2 linked regions of the Drosophila melanogaster genome follow. The protein of the gene in region 2 interacts with the protein of the main gene of each other region in a pairwise test. Each region holds a gene or a part of one and is shown on either strand. Other genes may lie near its edges.

Evidence for each region.
Region 1: the proteins of CG13784 (region 2) and Cep290 interact in a two-hybrid assay, tested with the Drosophila melanogaster proteins (one large-scale study listed by BioGRID).

The regions. Positions count from the first base shown.
Region 1 is NT_037436.4:841,149-851,052, forward strand, and holds the start of Cep290 (centrosomal protein 290kDa), read left to right. Parts: upstream 1-2,777; 5' UTR 2,778-3,217; coding exon 3,218-3,535; intron 3,536-3,592; coding exon 3,593-3,766; intron 3,767-3,819; coding exon 3,820-4,227; intron 4,228-4,292; coding exon 4,293-5,118; intron 5,119-5,177; coding exon 5,178-6,112; intron 6,113-6,170; coding exon 6,171-6,303; intron 6,304-6,365; coding exon 6,366-6,519; intron 6,520-6,576; coding exon 6,577-7,263; intron 7,264-7,327; coding exon 7,328-7,987; intron 7,988-8,040; coding exon 8,041-8,173; intron 8,174-8,231; coding exon 8,232-9,220; intron 9,221-9,285; coding exon 9,286-9,613; intron 9,614-9,676; coding exon 9,677-9,868; 3' UTR 9,869-9,904. Other genes in the region: JMJD5 (jumonji domain containing 5), read right to left, coding at 1-166; Gr61a (gustatory receptor 61a), read left to right, coding at 570-714, 775-966, 1,016-1,210, 1,263-1,429, 1,486-1,608, 1,666-1,820, 1,872-2,124, 2,183-2,263. UniProt on the Drosophila melanogaster protein: Essential for ciliogenesis in sensory neurons and spermatocytes.
Region 2 is NT_033779.5:7,216,305-7,222,835, reverse strand, and holds the start of CG13784 (uncharacterized protein), read left to right. Parts: upstream 1-2,802; 5' UTR 2,803-2,976; exon of another isoform or gene 2,977-3,705; 5' UTR 3,706-3,724; coding exon 3,725-3,927; intron 3,928-3,982; coding exon of another isoform or gene 3,983-3,983; exon of another isoform or gene 3,984-4,185; intron 4,186-6,531. Other genes in the region: mEFG1 (mitochondrial translation elongation factor G 1), read left to right, coding at 21-1,695, 1,749-2,094, 2,159-2,303.

The DNA.
Region 1 (9,904 bases), on a different chromosome or scaffold from region 2:
GATATCCGGTTTCCTCCGCCCCGGAATCTCCGCCAGACCTCAAGTTCGCCAGGTGATCCGCGGCTCTTTTGAGTATGTAGCGCGCCTCGACTTCACCACGGACCACATTTTCCAGATCCACCCAGCGGGGCAGCAGCTGCGTCAGCTCCAGGAACTCACTATCCATAGAATGTTAAACAACTATTATTTGTTTACCTTTTAGCTTACATTCAGCGTTGCCAGAGTTCATTTGTAAGCATTAAATATTTCGATTAATCGATGTTTTAAAATATATTTAAAAATTGATGAGTTGTTCAGTACTTCAAACATGTATTGCTTAAGGATGCCTTTAGTAAATTATAAATAGTAGCTCCGTGGGTCCTTCCATGGTGAAGATACATTTTGCACTGGCACGAAATGGAAAAACGATTTCCATGGGCGGAGTTATGACCGCCGTTTTGGACGCCGAATGGCATTGTGTGCCCCAAGTGCCACTAATTACGGGTTTTAGACTAAGCTGCAGCTTGTAAACAACAATCATGAGACAAGAACCCGGATAGTGGAATTGCTGACGGTCAGAGCTGAGGAGCATGTCGAGGACTTCGGATGACATCCGGAAGCACCTGAAAGTGCGGCGCCAGAAGCAGAGGGCCATTTTGGCCATGAGATGGCGCTGTGCCCAGGGAGGATTGGAGTTCGAGCAGCTGGACACCTTCTACGGAGCCATCAGGCCATGTAAGACCACTTTTCCAAACCACTTTCATATGTGTCTAAACATATTACAATGGACAATAGATCTGTGTGTGGCGCAGTTCTTCGGCATTATGCCTTTGTCGAATATCCGGAGTCGCGATCCCCAGGATGTGAAGTTCAAGGTAAGGAGCATTGGCCTGGCAGTCACCGGTCTCTTCCTTTTGCTCGGTGGCATGAAGACCTTGGTCGGTGCCAATATTCTCTTCACAGAGGGTCTGAATGCCAAGAATATCGGTGAGTTTTAGATGGTATGGTAGTGTGATCCCAACTGAAAGCTCAATAGTGGGTTTGGTTTTCCTTATCGTGGGCATGGTCAACTGGCTAAACTTCGTGGGCTTTGCTCGCTCCTGGTCGCACATAATGCTGCCCTGGAGTTCGGTGGACATTCTGATGCTCTTTCCGCCCTACAAACGTGGCAAGCGAAGCCTTCGGTCAAAGGTCAACGTCCTTGCTCTGAGTGTGGTCGTCCTGGCAGTAGGTGAGATTTCTGGGTTATCCTTTCAATGGTTTCCAGAAGAACTTTCTTTCAGGCGACCACATGCTGTACTACGCCTCTGGCTACTGCAGCTATAGCATGCACATCCTGCAGTGCCACACAAACCACTCGCGTATTACCTTTGGACTTTATTTGGAGAAGGAGTTCTCCGACATCATGTTCATCATGCCATTCAATATATTTTCCATGTGCTATGGATTTGTAAGTTAACTATATATATTTTAGTTAGTTAGTTTGAATAATGCTCTCTTTTTTAGTGGCTAAATGGAGCCTTCACCTTTCTGTGGAACTTCATGGACATCTTTATTGTGATGACCAGTATTGGACTGGCGCAAAGGTTTCAACAGTTTGCCGCTCGAGTTGGCGCACTGGAGGGTCGTGTAAAATAATCCAAACTATTTCAATGTATTTCTCTTTTAAATCCCCATCCCATTTAGCATGTTCCCGAAGCCTTGTGGTACGACATTCGGAGGGATCACATTCGCCTTTGCGAGCTGGCCAGTTTGGTGGAGGCCAGCATGTCGAATATAGTGTTCGTATCCTGCGCTAACAATGTGTATGTGATCTGCAACCAGGCGTTGGCTATTTTCACGTGAGTCATCTGTTTGTAGCTACCCCCTAGTCTCATTTCAAATCTTTTTAGCAAACTGCGGCATCCCATAAACTACGTTTACTTCTGGTACTCGCTGATCTTCCTGCTGGCCAGGACGAGTCTGGTTTTCATGACTGCCTCCAAGATCCACGATGCCTCGCTTCTGCCCCTGAGGTCCTTGTACTTGGTGCCCAGCGATGGCTGGACGCAGGAGGTGCAGAGATTTGCCGACCAGCTGACCAGCGAGTTTGTCGGATTGTCTGGATATCGTCTCTTCTGCTTGACAAGAAAGAGTCTCTTCGGAGTGGGTAAACTTCACGAGTCTTCACGATTCCCATACTGATCCCAGCCATCCTCTCCAGATGCTAGCCACCCTGGTGACCTACGAACTTATGCTGCTGCAAATAGATGCTAAGAGCCACAAGGGACTGCGGTGCGCGTAACTAAATGAGTGAACTTTAGTCCAGTTTAACTTAACTGAATGTATAATAAAATAGTCAGATAATCAGATTTGAAAAAGGGTAGATTCCTGCGAGGAAAAGTCAGTTAGCAGCTCATGTGTGAGTTCAGCCAACCCGACTCGGGCGGTTATTAAATGGCCAAAAGGCTTCCAGGATAATTGGCCATTCCGAGTGTCATTTCAATTTCAATTTTTGGCCAGCTGTCATTCAGCGAGGGCGAATCCACAAATGGGAGGGCAACCAAAGTCGCTTGCCATTAGTTTCAATTATTGCTACACATGTAGGCAAACGTAATTTTGAAGGCAACTCGATGAGTTTTGAAAGGAGAAAGGAGTTGGAGTGCACTGAAAAATATGTTCGGAAGCTAAAGTTCTAAATAATAATAATCTTATCTTTACTGCTTACTTCTAAACCCTTTCAAAAGCCACTTGGTGTGCTCTGAACTAAATACCATTTTTTTTTCGAGTGTAAGAAAAGTTAACAGAAACACGAGAAGGCGGCGGAAAAGTCGCTTCGAACAGAAATGGCTTTTCAATTTCAAAACTCGGCCTTTGACACTTTGCCAATTAACACTTTCCTGGTTACCGATTGCCATTTTTGTTTGTGGTGGGCCACCGGCTGCTCCCACCGCCGATCCTTGCCGCTATAGCCGCCGTTGAGGCAATTATCCTGTCAGGAAACTTTCTACGCAGCCGAAGCAGCTAGCAAAACAGAACGCCAGCAAAAACAAAGGTCCTGCAGGTTGGTCACTTGAAAGGAGCGCGCCGGCACCCTCGTTTCCGGAAAAGCAACCCCCGAATGGGTTTTCAGTCGTAGTTTGTTTTGGGCCAAGTGTCATGGCAACCGGAAAAACTGGAGAGCTGGTGTGGAAAATCGGGGAATATTTGGACGCAGAACGTGAGTAACCGCCGAGGAGCGAGGCCATGAGCCACCAGGATGAGCATGGACATACCAGAGACCGTATCCCTGCGCAAGTTCCGCGACTTTTCGGCGCGCCAGAAGCAGGAGCTCTACGAAACGCTCCTCGAACTGGCCGAGTCCATCGATGAGCTGCCTAAGAAGTCGCTGAGGAAAACCCTGGAACTCACCCTGGCCGTTTTGGAGTACAAGGGCGAGCAGGTACAGCAGCTGCAGGAATCAGCAGCCGGAGGACTCTCCTCCGACCGCCGCCTGCAGGATGAGAATGAGAAGCTGAAGCGAATGCTCCAGAAGTTGGAGGACGAACGCGATGGCCTGAAGAGCAAAGCCAAGGAGGTGAGCAGTAGATCATGTAAAGTACCCAAGCTCAAGGATACGCTTTTTTCTCACTAGTTGGGGGAGGAAATCCGTCAGTTGGAGCTGCGCCTGCAGGAGGCGGCGCAGCAGGCGGAAATCAGCGACAAGGATTCATCGGATCCCCTGTCCGAGCTGGACAAGCAGGAGCAGCTGCTGCAGAACATCGACTCCAAGAACAAGCACATCAAGCGGCTGCTAAAGGAAATCGAGGTGAGTCATATTATGTTTTGCATTCAGAATATACTATATTCATTCCCTTTCAGACACTGCAAAACCAAAACATAGCTCAATCGAAGACCATAGTGCTCCACGAGCGGGAGCTGCAGACCATCAAGGCGAATCTCGTGCAATTGAGCCAGGACATCACCAAGGTGGAGCAGGAGCGCAAGTCCTTGAAACAAAAGGAGCAGCAGCAGGCGCTGGAAATCACTCGCCTGGAAGGAAATCTAACTTTCCTGGAGGTGGAGCGCGAGAAGCAGGAGGTGGAAATGCGTCAGTTCCTGGACAAATACGAGGCCAAGTCGCTGGGCTGGAGGCAGGCGCTCGACGATCGGGACAAGGAGGTGGAGCGTCTCAAGAAACAACTGGAGGGCAAAAGCATCAGCTCTGGCCAAACCAATTCTTCCAACAGTCAGAGTCAGCAGGAGGAGGAGCACGCCAAACTACGACAGGTAAGGATGAACTGCCGATATATTTTATCTAGATCTTGAGCTCGCTAAATGTTCATCCCTCGTAGCTTTTGGAATCCCGGGAACAACGCATCGAGAAGCTGGAGGAGAAGATCAAGTCAATGGCGGAGGAGATGGTTAGCTCCACGCGTGCGATGAACCAGTTGTGTCAGGAGAAGGAGCGAGCCCACGATCCCGAGCAGCCGCGAGCCTGCTGCCAGATGATCGAGGAGCGCCTGCGGGAAGCCACCGCCCGGTGTCAGCAGCTCTCGGAGATGCTGGAGGCCGCCGAGCAGGACAACGTGCTCAAGTCCCAGCAGGCCCTGCACGCCATTAGTGCCCTGGAGGCCTACAAGCGTGACGAAGATGGCCTCATTCCCGCTCTGCGACGCTGCTCGGGATTGGAACAGAAGGTGGCAGCACGCGACAAGCAGCTGAGGGCCTACATCCAGGAGCTGAACTCCCTGCACGAGGTGGTCCAGGAGAACGAGCTGCTGCGGCGAAAACTTCACATCCCCGACGATGTGGTCATCATGGCCAAGAACGTCCATTCCAAGCAGCGCAACAAGGACAAGCAGATCGAGCGACTGACCCTCAAGCTGAGGACATCCGAGGAGCTGCGTCTGCAATTGAAGTTGGAAAAGAGTGAACTTAGGCGGAAGCTCTTGGAGTTGCAGCAGGACAGTCCGCAGACCTTGAACGAATCGCTGCAGGCGCCCAGCGAAGTGGGTGAAGTGCCTCATAGTGTGCATCTGGAGAATTCGCCGAGACGTGGCCAAGGCGACGGGGCAGCCAGTTCCGAGATGCAGAATCGATACGACGAAGTCCTGGCCGAAAATGAAACACTACGCTCCGGCATGTACGAGATTCTGGAGAAGCTGCGGGAATATGATGGTGAGATAACCATAACATATTTCTTGAATAACTATATGTATTAAACATTATCCATGTAGCCACCTCAGAGCACATAACCATCGATTCCGATCTCTTGCGCCGCCTCATCGAAGCTCTGCCCGGCGGAACGACCACTCCGCAGCGACTCCAGGGTCAGCTCCTAGAGCTGAAGGCCCGAGAGGAGGCACTGCGTCAGCTGCTCGAGCAGCAGAACTACAGTGACTCCGAGACGGGAGAACTGTCCTCTGTGCATAGTCTGTGCGAGGTTCCCGAGATTGCAGAAGAGCATCCTGTCGAGGAGGATGCTGTGCTGAACACAGCCACCAGGCCAAGCTCGCCCACTGAAGCCACGATGGGATTACGCAGACCCACTGTACCAGATCCCGAGGAGAAACCCACGAACGAGGCCCTGGCTGAGCTCTCCATTCTGCGCAAGCACTACGACGAACTTCGTCTTCATATGTCCGCCGATGGCAGTGATCTGATGAATCGCAACCAAGAGCTCCACGATCAAATGATCGCTTTGGAGTTGCAGTTGGAGCAGCAAAGGAATTCCTACTCCTACATGCGCAGGGATTACGATCAACTGCTGACGGAGACCAGAAAGCAGGAACTTCGCTTCATAGATGATAAGGCGTCTCTAGCCAGGCAGTTGGAGCATAGCAAGAGTGAACTATGTGAAGCTAGAGAGGAGTTGGAGCAAGTGAATCGAAGGAATCTCTACACTGCGGAGGAGCAGCAAAAGTTGGAGCACAGGAATGCCATCTTGAGCATGCAACTTGGCCAGGCGATGGAGCAACTGCTGGGCGAGCTGAAGCCCACGGAAATATGCGCTGAGTACGGTATAATCAGGGAGAACTATCAGCTGGATTACATCACAGCCCAGGACTTCGAGGAGCAGCAACAGGAGCTGCTCACTTGGAGGAGCAAGCAGGCGGAGCTGCAGAGGGAGACCAAGCAGCTGGAAGGACTGCTCCATGTGGCCAATGAGCAGGTTGGAGATTCTCCTTGATACCTACCCATGGGAGATCTAATGCCCATCCTCTTTCCAGATTCACTCCCAGCAAAGGCTGCTCAATGAGATCACCGATAACCACATCAATCTGCGTCACCTGGTGGCCGATCTTCAGAGCAGCTCCGACGAGAAGCTAATGCTGGCCAAGGTCCAGAGGGATCTGGATAGTGGTAAGCACAGACTTATTCGAGGAGAAGATCAGTAGCCAGCATGTCTCTCTTTTTTTTTTTAGTGAAAGCCGAGTGCTCCCGCTTGGAAACAGAGCGAGAAAAACTGCAGCTAAAGGCGGACTGCCTGCAAACCCAACTGGAGGCCAGCGAGTTATCCCTGAAACAGACGCAACAGGACTTCCAGCAGGAGCGCACCAATAGCGATATTAAGCACAAGTGAGACCAAGTGGTGGATAATCCCTAGCAGATCTGACTTTCTACCAAATCCCACAGATTCCTCCAGCATTCATTGTTTATGCTCAAAGATAAATATGCCAAATTCACGCCACTGGTCTTCCTTACCAACTTTGTGTTCGCCTACCAAAAGTTCCAGCGTCGCCTGGAGGAGGAGCAAGTGCAGCAGCGACATAGAGATCACACCGCTCTGATTGATGAAGTGACCGCCGTGGTCCAGGCCAAAATTGGTCTCAACGAGGAGAGTTCCCAGCAGTTGGTGAAGCTCATAAAGTCTGAAACACAGACGAGACTCTTGGAACAGCGCTGCGAGATTCTGCAGGCCAAACAGGAGGAGCTCGTTCGGGAATTGGGTGAGTTGAGGATGAGCCAGGCCACCGACACCGAGCACTGGAGCACCATCCAGGCCTTGTTCGGTGAAGGAGAGCCAAGAAGTCAACTCAAGGTGGATGCAGAGACGAATACCGATGCAGTGGCTCCTAATCTGGCCATGAGAAGGGCCGTCCAGTTGATAGACAGGGAGTCATCGCCCATTGGGTCGCCTCTCCGAAAACATCCGCACCTGGATACAGCCACTCAAACGCTGGAGGCGCAAGTTGAGTTCTCGGAGACGGCAGTCCAAACCAATGGCATTCTCAGCCAGCAGAATCAAGCCGTTCAGACAGCGGATGCAGTGGAGGACAATAGGAGAGATTCCCGCGCGGAGCTACAAAAAATGCAAGAAACGTAAGTTCCCCCAAGTAAAAAATGTAAATAACTATTTGCAACTATAAATGGTGATGCCCAACAGTCTGCAGGAAGCCAACCAGCGCATCGAGATCCTTGGCAAGCAGTTGGAGGCTTCCAGATCGGAGAGTCGCGAGTCCGCCAGTCCGCAAGGTGGTGTGGTGGAGAAGACCATACTCTCGTTCCACACCCTGCTCCTGGAGAAGGACCAGTCCATACAAAAGTACCAGGACCTTCTGCAAACCGAGAGGGATCAGAGTCAGCAAGCACTTAGCAAACAGGTGGCTGAAAACGAATCCCTGAGGGCCACGGTTAACAACCTGAACTTCAACATCAAGACGAAGGATGCAGAGATTCAGGGCCTTAAGGAGAAGCTGAGACAGAAACCCGAGGTCCCCGTGGAGCGCAACCCGTCGACGGATTCGAGGTCCAGTTCCAGTTCCGATAGCTCGGTCAACGAGCTGACGGATGAGAAGATCGAGGAGCTCTTCGAAAGCAGCTCAGTGGAGAGACCACCCCAAGAAGAGTTGGAAGTGCCAGTGGAAGCAGGTCCAGAGAACATAGTTACCGAAGAGCCCGAAGGTGAGGAGGAGAAGCAGGACACCGAGGAGCTGAAGGAAGTGCCGACGCTGCACAAGCAAATCAAGGATCTCAAGGACAAGCTGGAGTACAGCGAAAGGAGCCTCAAGACGAGGGAAGAGGAAGTGGATATACTAAAGGAGAAGTAAGTTGTAAAGTAAGTAGTTGTGCATGATCTTAATCCGTTACATTCGACAGGTTGAAGCTGTGCCAGGAGCGGGAGAAGTCGGTCGAAAGCACCGTGAATCCCGAACTGGATCAGCTACGCATCTTTCTGGATGAGAAGGACAAGCACATCAAGGATCTGATGGATACACTCAAGAACTTCCACGTAATGCCCAGCAATACCATCATATTCATCTCTACTATTAAAAGTTTTAAACATGCAGGACGACCAGCAGCGCTACATCAAAGACACCTCGAACTTCTCGGAGGACCAGATAGCCAAGCTGGCTGCCGATCTCAACCGCACCGAGGCCACCAACAAGATCTATCACACCCAAATGGAGGCACTTCGCCGCCAGCTGGCCAACGTCACCCAGCGCGAAAAGCAGGCCAGGGATCTCAGCCAGTCGCTGCGCCAGCAGCTACTCAAACGCCCTGTGGTCTCCATTAAAACGGAACTGAATGCCCGGGTTAAGAACGAGAACCAGCTGAAGAGAATCCAGCAGCTGGAATTGGACTTGGACGAGGCACGTGGCCAGCTGCAGCGACAGCAGACGCTCCTGGAGGCCAAGCGCACGAGGAGTGCCAATGAGGTGCAGCTCTGGGAGAAGCAGAAGCGGTACCAACAGCAGGCGGAGAAGACCAAGGCCCGGCTGGAGGAGACCGAGCTGGCGCTGGAGAAGACCCGTGCCCTTCTCCAGGCAGCGCGCACCACAATAGCGCGCTTGGAAAAGGACAAGCAAATCCTGGAGTCCAAGCTGGGCAGGAACGGTCCGCCGAGCAACAGCTCCGGTGGCAATAACCTCAAGTGCTGCCGCACTCCATCCTGTCCGAATCTCCAGCACGTGGGTGTCAGCAAGTTCGCTCCATCGCCTTCGGAGAGTCCGGAGACCTACACGGGTCCCAGCAGCGAGTGCAGCTCTCCGGCGCATCATCACACCCAGATCTTTGACCAGAGTCAGTTGGACCTTATTGAGGCGCTCAAGTCGCGCATTGAGCTGCAGCAGCGCAAGATCATCGCCATGGAACTGGAGGGCAGGGGCAGCAATGCCCTGACCACGGAGCTGGAAAAATTGCAAGAGCGCTGCCAGGCCATCGAGGCGCAGAACATCCGACTGGAGGCCAGGAACCTTCAGCTGCAGCTCGACTCGGATCTCTTGAGGCAGGGCGACAGCAGCGATCGGCTGCAGAAGCGAATCAAGCACTTGGAGGAGTGAGTAGAGAGCGGCAGTTTCCACGCGTGTGAATCGAGACTTATGCACCACCCCCATTTTTCAGCTACATCATGGCCCTGAAGGAGGAGATGGCTCGCAACGAATCCCGTCGAGAGTTGGGCAGTGGCCTCAAGGTGAGCACAAATCAGGGCCAATCGGCGGAGCAGACGATCCTCTCGCTGCGCAATCTCGTGGAGAAGTTGCGATCGGAGAACAAGTTCCTGAAGGATGGTCGACGATCCACGGAGTCGCGCAGCTCCATGGACTCCACGCCTGCAGAGGCGGCACGTCTGCAGCAGCAGCATGCAGAGGCGCTGGAGAAAATCAGTGCTCTGCAGCAGGAGTTGCAGAAGCGAACCACCAAGTGCAGCCAATGCGGGGGACGCAGCAAGGTAGGTACCGCTCGTAATAATACACCTTCGGCAATAATTGTGTTTGAAATTTAAAAAAAAAAGGACGCTGCCAACGAGGAGCTCAAGTTCATCAAGGAGCAGTTGGTGAAAAAGACGCAGCTGCTGCAGAAGGCAAAAGTACTTCTGACCCGTGCTGCCGCCAAGGAAAAAGTCCTGAGGGAACAGCTGGCCTTGTGGAAACGCAAGTGCTCCGAACTGCAAAATGTGCCCGTGATCGATGAAATCAGCGAGTAACCAGTATTGATCATAAGATGAATGTTGTACAGGAAA
Region 2 (6,531 bases):
TGGTACAAATAACTTTTCAGGCCGGCTACAGTTCGCATGCGAAGTTTTCGGAGCACAAGCCCATCGAGAGGATCCGGAACATAGGAATCTCGGCGCATATTGACAGTGGAAAGACGACCTTGACGGAGAGGATTCTGTTCTACACCGGCAGGATTGCGGAGATGCACGAGGTGCGAGGAAAGGATAACGTGGGTGCCACCATGGACAGCATGGAGCTGGAAAGGCAGCGGGGCATTACCATTCAATCGGCAGCCACGTACACACTGTGGAAGGACACCAATATCAATATTATCGATACACCCGGGCATGTGGACTTCACCGTGGAGGTGGAGCGCGCACTCCGAGTTCTCGATGGTGCCGTTCTGGTCTTGTGCGCCGTGGGAGGAGTCCAGAGTCAGACCCTGACGGTTAACCGGCAGATGAAGCGCTACAATGTGCCCTGCCTGGCTTTCATCAACAAACTGGATCGCTTGGGGTCGAACCCGTACAGAGTTCTATCCCAGATGAGGTCAAAAATGAACCACAACGCTGCTTTCATTCAGCTGCCCATTGGAGTGGAGAGCAATTGCAAGGGCATCGTGGATTTGGTGCGGGAAAAAGCCATATACTTTGAGGGCGAGCACGGAATGGACATCAGGCTGGACGAAATTCCACAGGATATGCGGGTAGAGAGCCTGGAGAGAAGACAGGAGCTTATCGAACACTTGTCAAATGCAGACGAAACGCTTGGAGAACTTTTCCTGGAAGAGAAGCCCTTTACAGAAGACGATATTAAGGCGGCCTTAAGGAGAACCTGCATCAATAGAACCTTCACACCTGTCTTGGTGGGCACAGCACTGAAGAACAAAGGTGTCCAGCCATTGCTAGATGCAGTACTTGACTACCTGCCCAATCCTGGAGAGGTAGAGAACCTGGGCTTCATCGAGAAGGAAGGACAAGACCCAGAAAAAGTAGTCTTAAATCCCGCCCGCGATGGCAAGGATCCCTTTGTTGGCTTGGCGTTCAAGCTGGAAGCTGGTCGCTTTGGCCAACTAACCTACCTCAGATGCTACCAAGGTGTCCTACGGAAGGGTGACAACATCTTCAATGCCCGCACCAACAAGAAAGTGAGAATTGCTCGCTTGGTTCGATTGCACTCAAATCAAATGGAGGATGTAAACGAGGTGTATGCCGGCGATATATTTGCGCTTTTCGGAGTTGATTGCGCCTCCGGAGACACTTTCACCACCAATCCCAAGAACAATCTGTCTATGGAATCCATCTTTGTACCCGAGCCCGTGGTCTCAATGGCCATTAAGCCAAATAATACCAAGGATAGGGATAATTTCTCGAAGGCTATTGCGAGATTCACCAAAGAGGATCCCACATTCCACTTCTTTTTCGACAACGATGTAAAGGAAACTCTTGTCTCGGGAATGGGTGAACTGCATTTGGAGATCTATGCCCAGAGAATGGAGAGGGAATACGGTTGCCCAGTGACGCTGGGAAAGCCAAAAGTAGCATTTAGGGAAACCCTGGTGGGACCGTGTGAGTTTGATTACCTGCACAAGAAACAATCGGGAGGATCGGGTCAATATGCCAGGATTATTGGAGTCATGGAACCACTACCGCCGAACCAAAACACCCTGCTGGAATTCGTGGACGAAACAGTGGGCACCAATGTACCAAAACAATTTGTTCCTGGAGTCGAAAAGGGTAACTAAAATTACATTCCTCAATGTTCTGATTTTAATATTTTATTTGCTTAGGTTACAGAGAAATGGCTGAGAAGGGAATGCTCTCCGGTCACAAGTTGTCCGGCATTCGATTCCGCCTGCAAGATGGTGGTCACCACATCGTGGACTCCAGCGAGCTCGCCTTCATGTTGGCTGCCCATGGTGCCATCAAAGAGGTCTTCCAGAACGGCAGCTGGCAAATCCTAGAGCCCATTATGCTGGTCGAGGTCACTGCACCCGAGGAATTCCAGGGTGCTGTAATGGGTCACTTGAGCAAACGGCATGGTATCATCACCGGAACTGAGGGAACCGAGGGTTGGTTCACTGTCTACGCGGAGGTACCGCTGAACGACATGTTTGGCTATGCGGGAGAGCTGAGGTAATCTTCAGTACACATTGGAAACGTTGAATTGTATCTAAATATATCTCATCTTTATTTACAGATCGAGTACCCAGGGAAAGGGTGAATTCACCATGGAGTACTCCAGGTACTCGCCTTGTCTCCCAGATGTCCAGGATCAGATCGTCCGGCAATACCAGGAGTCGCAAGGATTGGCCCAACCCGACAAGAAGAAAAAGAAGAACTAGGTTTTAACTTAATCTATTTTTAATTACCATCTCTATCAAATCGAAATGTTATTGTGTCACCCCTATTTTTGCTTAGTTAAATTTTATTTCATACAACAATTTTCAGTTTTCACTGTGATAAATGCGAAGTGTACAGTTATTTGTATAATAAAACAAGATTCAACAAAAATCGGTATACTTAATTAATCACAGCTTGTTGATATCAGTTGAATTTTTCGTCTTATTTTTCTTTGAAAATGAAATATATATATAAATTAATACAAATAACTCATTTATATTTGAAACGCTTTTGTTGGAGGCGCACATACTATTTTGTACCTATATAACACTAGGTACGGAAATAGGTACCGATTGGTACTCCGCGGTACTTAGTCATCTTACCGTTAAACAGGTCGAAAACGAGTATAACAAAAATATCGAATAATAATGTCAGATGCGTTAGGGAATGTGAGTTTCAGGATTTCGCTGACTGGTAACACTAGCCACAAAACTTGTGTACGTTTGTTTGTGTTGTTGTTTTCGCTTGCGTGCGGTTGATCCGCGGACAGTTTTTCCGCAAACTCGCAGAGGAAATGCAAACTGTGGCGAGGTGAAAGGAAAACTGACCACCGAAAGTGCGAAGAAGAACGAAAATTGAAACAACAGCAAGCGACAGCAATTAGCGAATGAATAAGTACGATTTTCCGGAACAATAATAATAGCAACAACAGCAACAACAACAACGGCTGCAGCCACAACAAAAATTTAACTCAATTAACGGAAAAGGCAAACGGGGGAAAATGCAATTGAAATGCCGAGAGCATTTATGAAGTGTGCTGATGTGTTTGCGTAGAAATGGAGCGATTTGTGATTGCAGCGCTTTGCTCGTCTAGTGTTTTCCGCTGCCAGAAAAGTGTGCGCAGGAAAATCGGTGACGATTCGTGAAAAAAGGGGCATAGAAAATTCGGTGAAAATTCAATACAAAAAAAACGCGGAAAACGAAAACACAGGAAAAATTAAAAGAGCGACAAAGAGTGAGAGCGTGCGAGAGCAATAGGGAAATAGAAAATAAATATCTTCGCTGCCTGCGTGTGGGTGTGCGTCAGTGTGTGTGTGTGTGTGTGCAAAAGTAGAAGATCAAAGCGAAACGACGAAAAACAAGCACAGCAACAACAACACACAGCTGACTTCCTTTCTTTCCTTCCTGCATTACACTGTTCAACAAACAATAGTTATAACCGCAAACGATGCGAAATCCAGTAACTACAACAACGACTACTTCCAATCGCCGGCTTTTAAACTAGTCAAAAAATCAAATCAATAACATAAACTACACATATCCGCTAAACGACAAAACCTAAAACGAAAAATAAATTTCAAAACACAAAGTAAACGAATAAACTAAATATAACCAAATTTCCAGTAAACAGAGATAGCTCACAATGGATTGGATCATCAATGATGAGATGGGCCTGACGGTCGGTCACGTGGTGGGCTGGGCCGCCGCCTCCGCAATGGTTATTGGGGGCGTGATCCCCTACGTGCCCCAATACATTGAGATCAAGAAGACGCAGGACGCGGAGGGATTCTCTCTGTACGTGTGCCTGGCGCTGCTGGTGGCCAACTCGCTGAGAATACTCTTCTGGTAAGACTTAACTTGTACGCTAATCAAAAATAACTAAATTTGTAATCGAAAATAGATACTGGAATACTAGATACATAATAGATACCTAGGAAACTAAAACATTACTAGCATCCGTACGAAACTAATTAAATTCATTACCTAATGCTCCATAATGTTAACAAAAGTGCTTAAATGTGAAAGCTCAAAATTTTGCAAGTAATTATGACGATTTCATATCCAAATATGCCATTTTTGAGCAATAAATCAATCATGAAAGGCAAAACGAACTTTTATTGCACGCGCTTATTTTTCTTTTTGACTGTACAGCACTCGAAAATAACACAAATCACTTTTGAACGCTGCGTATTCAAATGAAAATAAACACCTGCAAATTCTCTCTCGTTTTTTTTCTTTTGATTTGGGTTGAGAATACAATTGAAATACATCATAATTCTTTAAAAAAAAAATCTCTAGAAAATTACTGATATGGCACTTCCTTGTCTTTAAAATCTACCTAAAAACTTACTTTAGAAACATGCTATTATATCTACATATATATACAGAAAGATCTCTTTCGCAGTAGTTTCGAATCCTCTGGCACCCCTGCGGTGAAAACGTCAGGTACCTGAACCTCTCTAAGTAAACCCCTGTCCACTTTTATCTCACCCACATTGGGATGACTAAACCCACTCGGCAAATACCTGGTATGGTATTACGGCTTATCTGGGTGGGCAATTCAAACCGCTTATCACGCGAAATTCTCTCATGGTCCGACGCGACAATTTACGGTTTGGAGCACTTGAGACCAAAACCCCTTCCTATCTGTTAGCTATGTCATGATTTCTGGTCGATTTTGCTCACCATAGTCGATAGACGACTTCCACAATTTGGACGAAGGACCAGCGTACTGGTTTTATCTTTATTGTACTCCCAGCGGTATTTAGGTATTCGGCACAATGCACAATGTCGTCGATAATCGCTATTTTCGCTGGGGTTTAGGACACTTGATGGAAGATTTATCAGCTTTCATGCTGAACTAATGTTTTGTGGGATGTTTGATAAGATTGTTACACTCAACTCAATACAAGCGCAACTATAGTTTATAAGAAGTCAAAAAAAACTATTTCGTAATATACGAAATTCAGTCGTTTTTGGGAATATTTAGGTGACTTAAAAATGTTGACAGTCTGAACTTTCGTTTCTGGAATGGTTTCATCCAGCTGCCCTGGATTGTTGATTCATCTTTTTGCAGAGCGAAACATATAAATCAAAATTAATAAAGTAAATTTTTAATTCAATTTGAATGAGTGTGCAAAGTAGCTTTCAAAATGTGACAATGCCATTGAAACCAGTTGAAACTGACACAGAGCCAACAAACAAAAAGATATAATTGAATTTGCGCTATTGTTTATTCAGAACGTATTTTCATATTTAGTTCAAAATATATATTTGCCATATGGAATAAACGGAATAAACGGATTTTTAGGCCAGCTACTTCTCGACTGGCCTTTAACAACAGGGTCAACTACTTTTGTCCAGCTGGTTTCTGTGTATTTTTCAGGTTGTTTAGCCCGTTTAAAGCTGCTGCTATTGTGGTTTTTCGAGACCCATCGCTTCCTACTAATAATTTATTAACAAGCCAAGTGAAACGTGAACGCAAAAACAAAAAAAGAATAGGAGCAACTGGTGGCCCTCATCGACGCCGTCAATTTGTCTGGCCTGGGTGGCAATCAATAAATAAATTATTTAGCTGGAAACTGTTGCCGGCGAGCAAAGTTGAATCAGCTGGGCAACGAGGCTTTGAGCCGAATAATCCCAATACAATATGTATACGTTATATATAGATGTTTACGATTCCTTGTGGCCAGACATTTTTTTTCCAGACACGCGATCAGTTTCAGTTGGGTTTTATGAATAAAGTCAGTCAGTCTGGAGGCTAAGTAATAGTGCAATAGGAATGTTTTGGGGGCTACAACAATGATAGGAAGTAGCTTTTAATTTATGCACGACTTTTTGCTTTCCGTACGCCGTAATTATTATTATTCCGACTGAATAAACCCCCGCAAAAAAAAAAAAAATTTAGTTGAGTGCAACTGGCAATTTGTGTACAACAAAATGCACGAAACACTTCAACTATTAAAAGTTATTTCGTGAATTTACCATAAATTGCACGCAATTACAATTAATTAGTTCACGTGATGGAAATATATTTCACATATGTGATATTCAGAGAAAAAAAAACACTCCCAACAAAGGGAGGCAGATTATGGATAGGAACAAGAAGGAATGACACATCCCGTTGACTTTATTGTAAAAATTGACAACGTGGCTGCCTTTGTTGTTGATCGTAAATATGCATATTAAACACGGAATTAATCATAAAACTCACACCGTGGCACGACTAAAAGTAAATATAATAATTGGAAAAATTTTCTGTGCTTTTTGCATGAGCTCATTGCTTGAAATCATCGCTGAATAATTATTGTAAAATCAAGATTAGAATTGTGGTTTAGATAATGCGAATAGAGTTTACACTTGAGATAAGATATTTGGAATTTTTTTTTCAGCTTTTGGTGTAGGAAGTAAAGTAAAGTTGTTTTTATCTTATCTGTAAAAAAAAAAGTG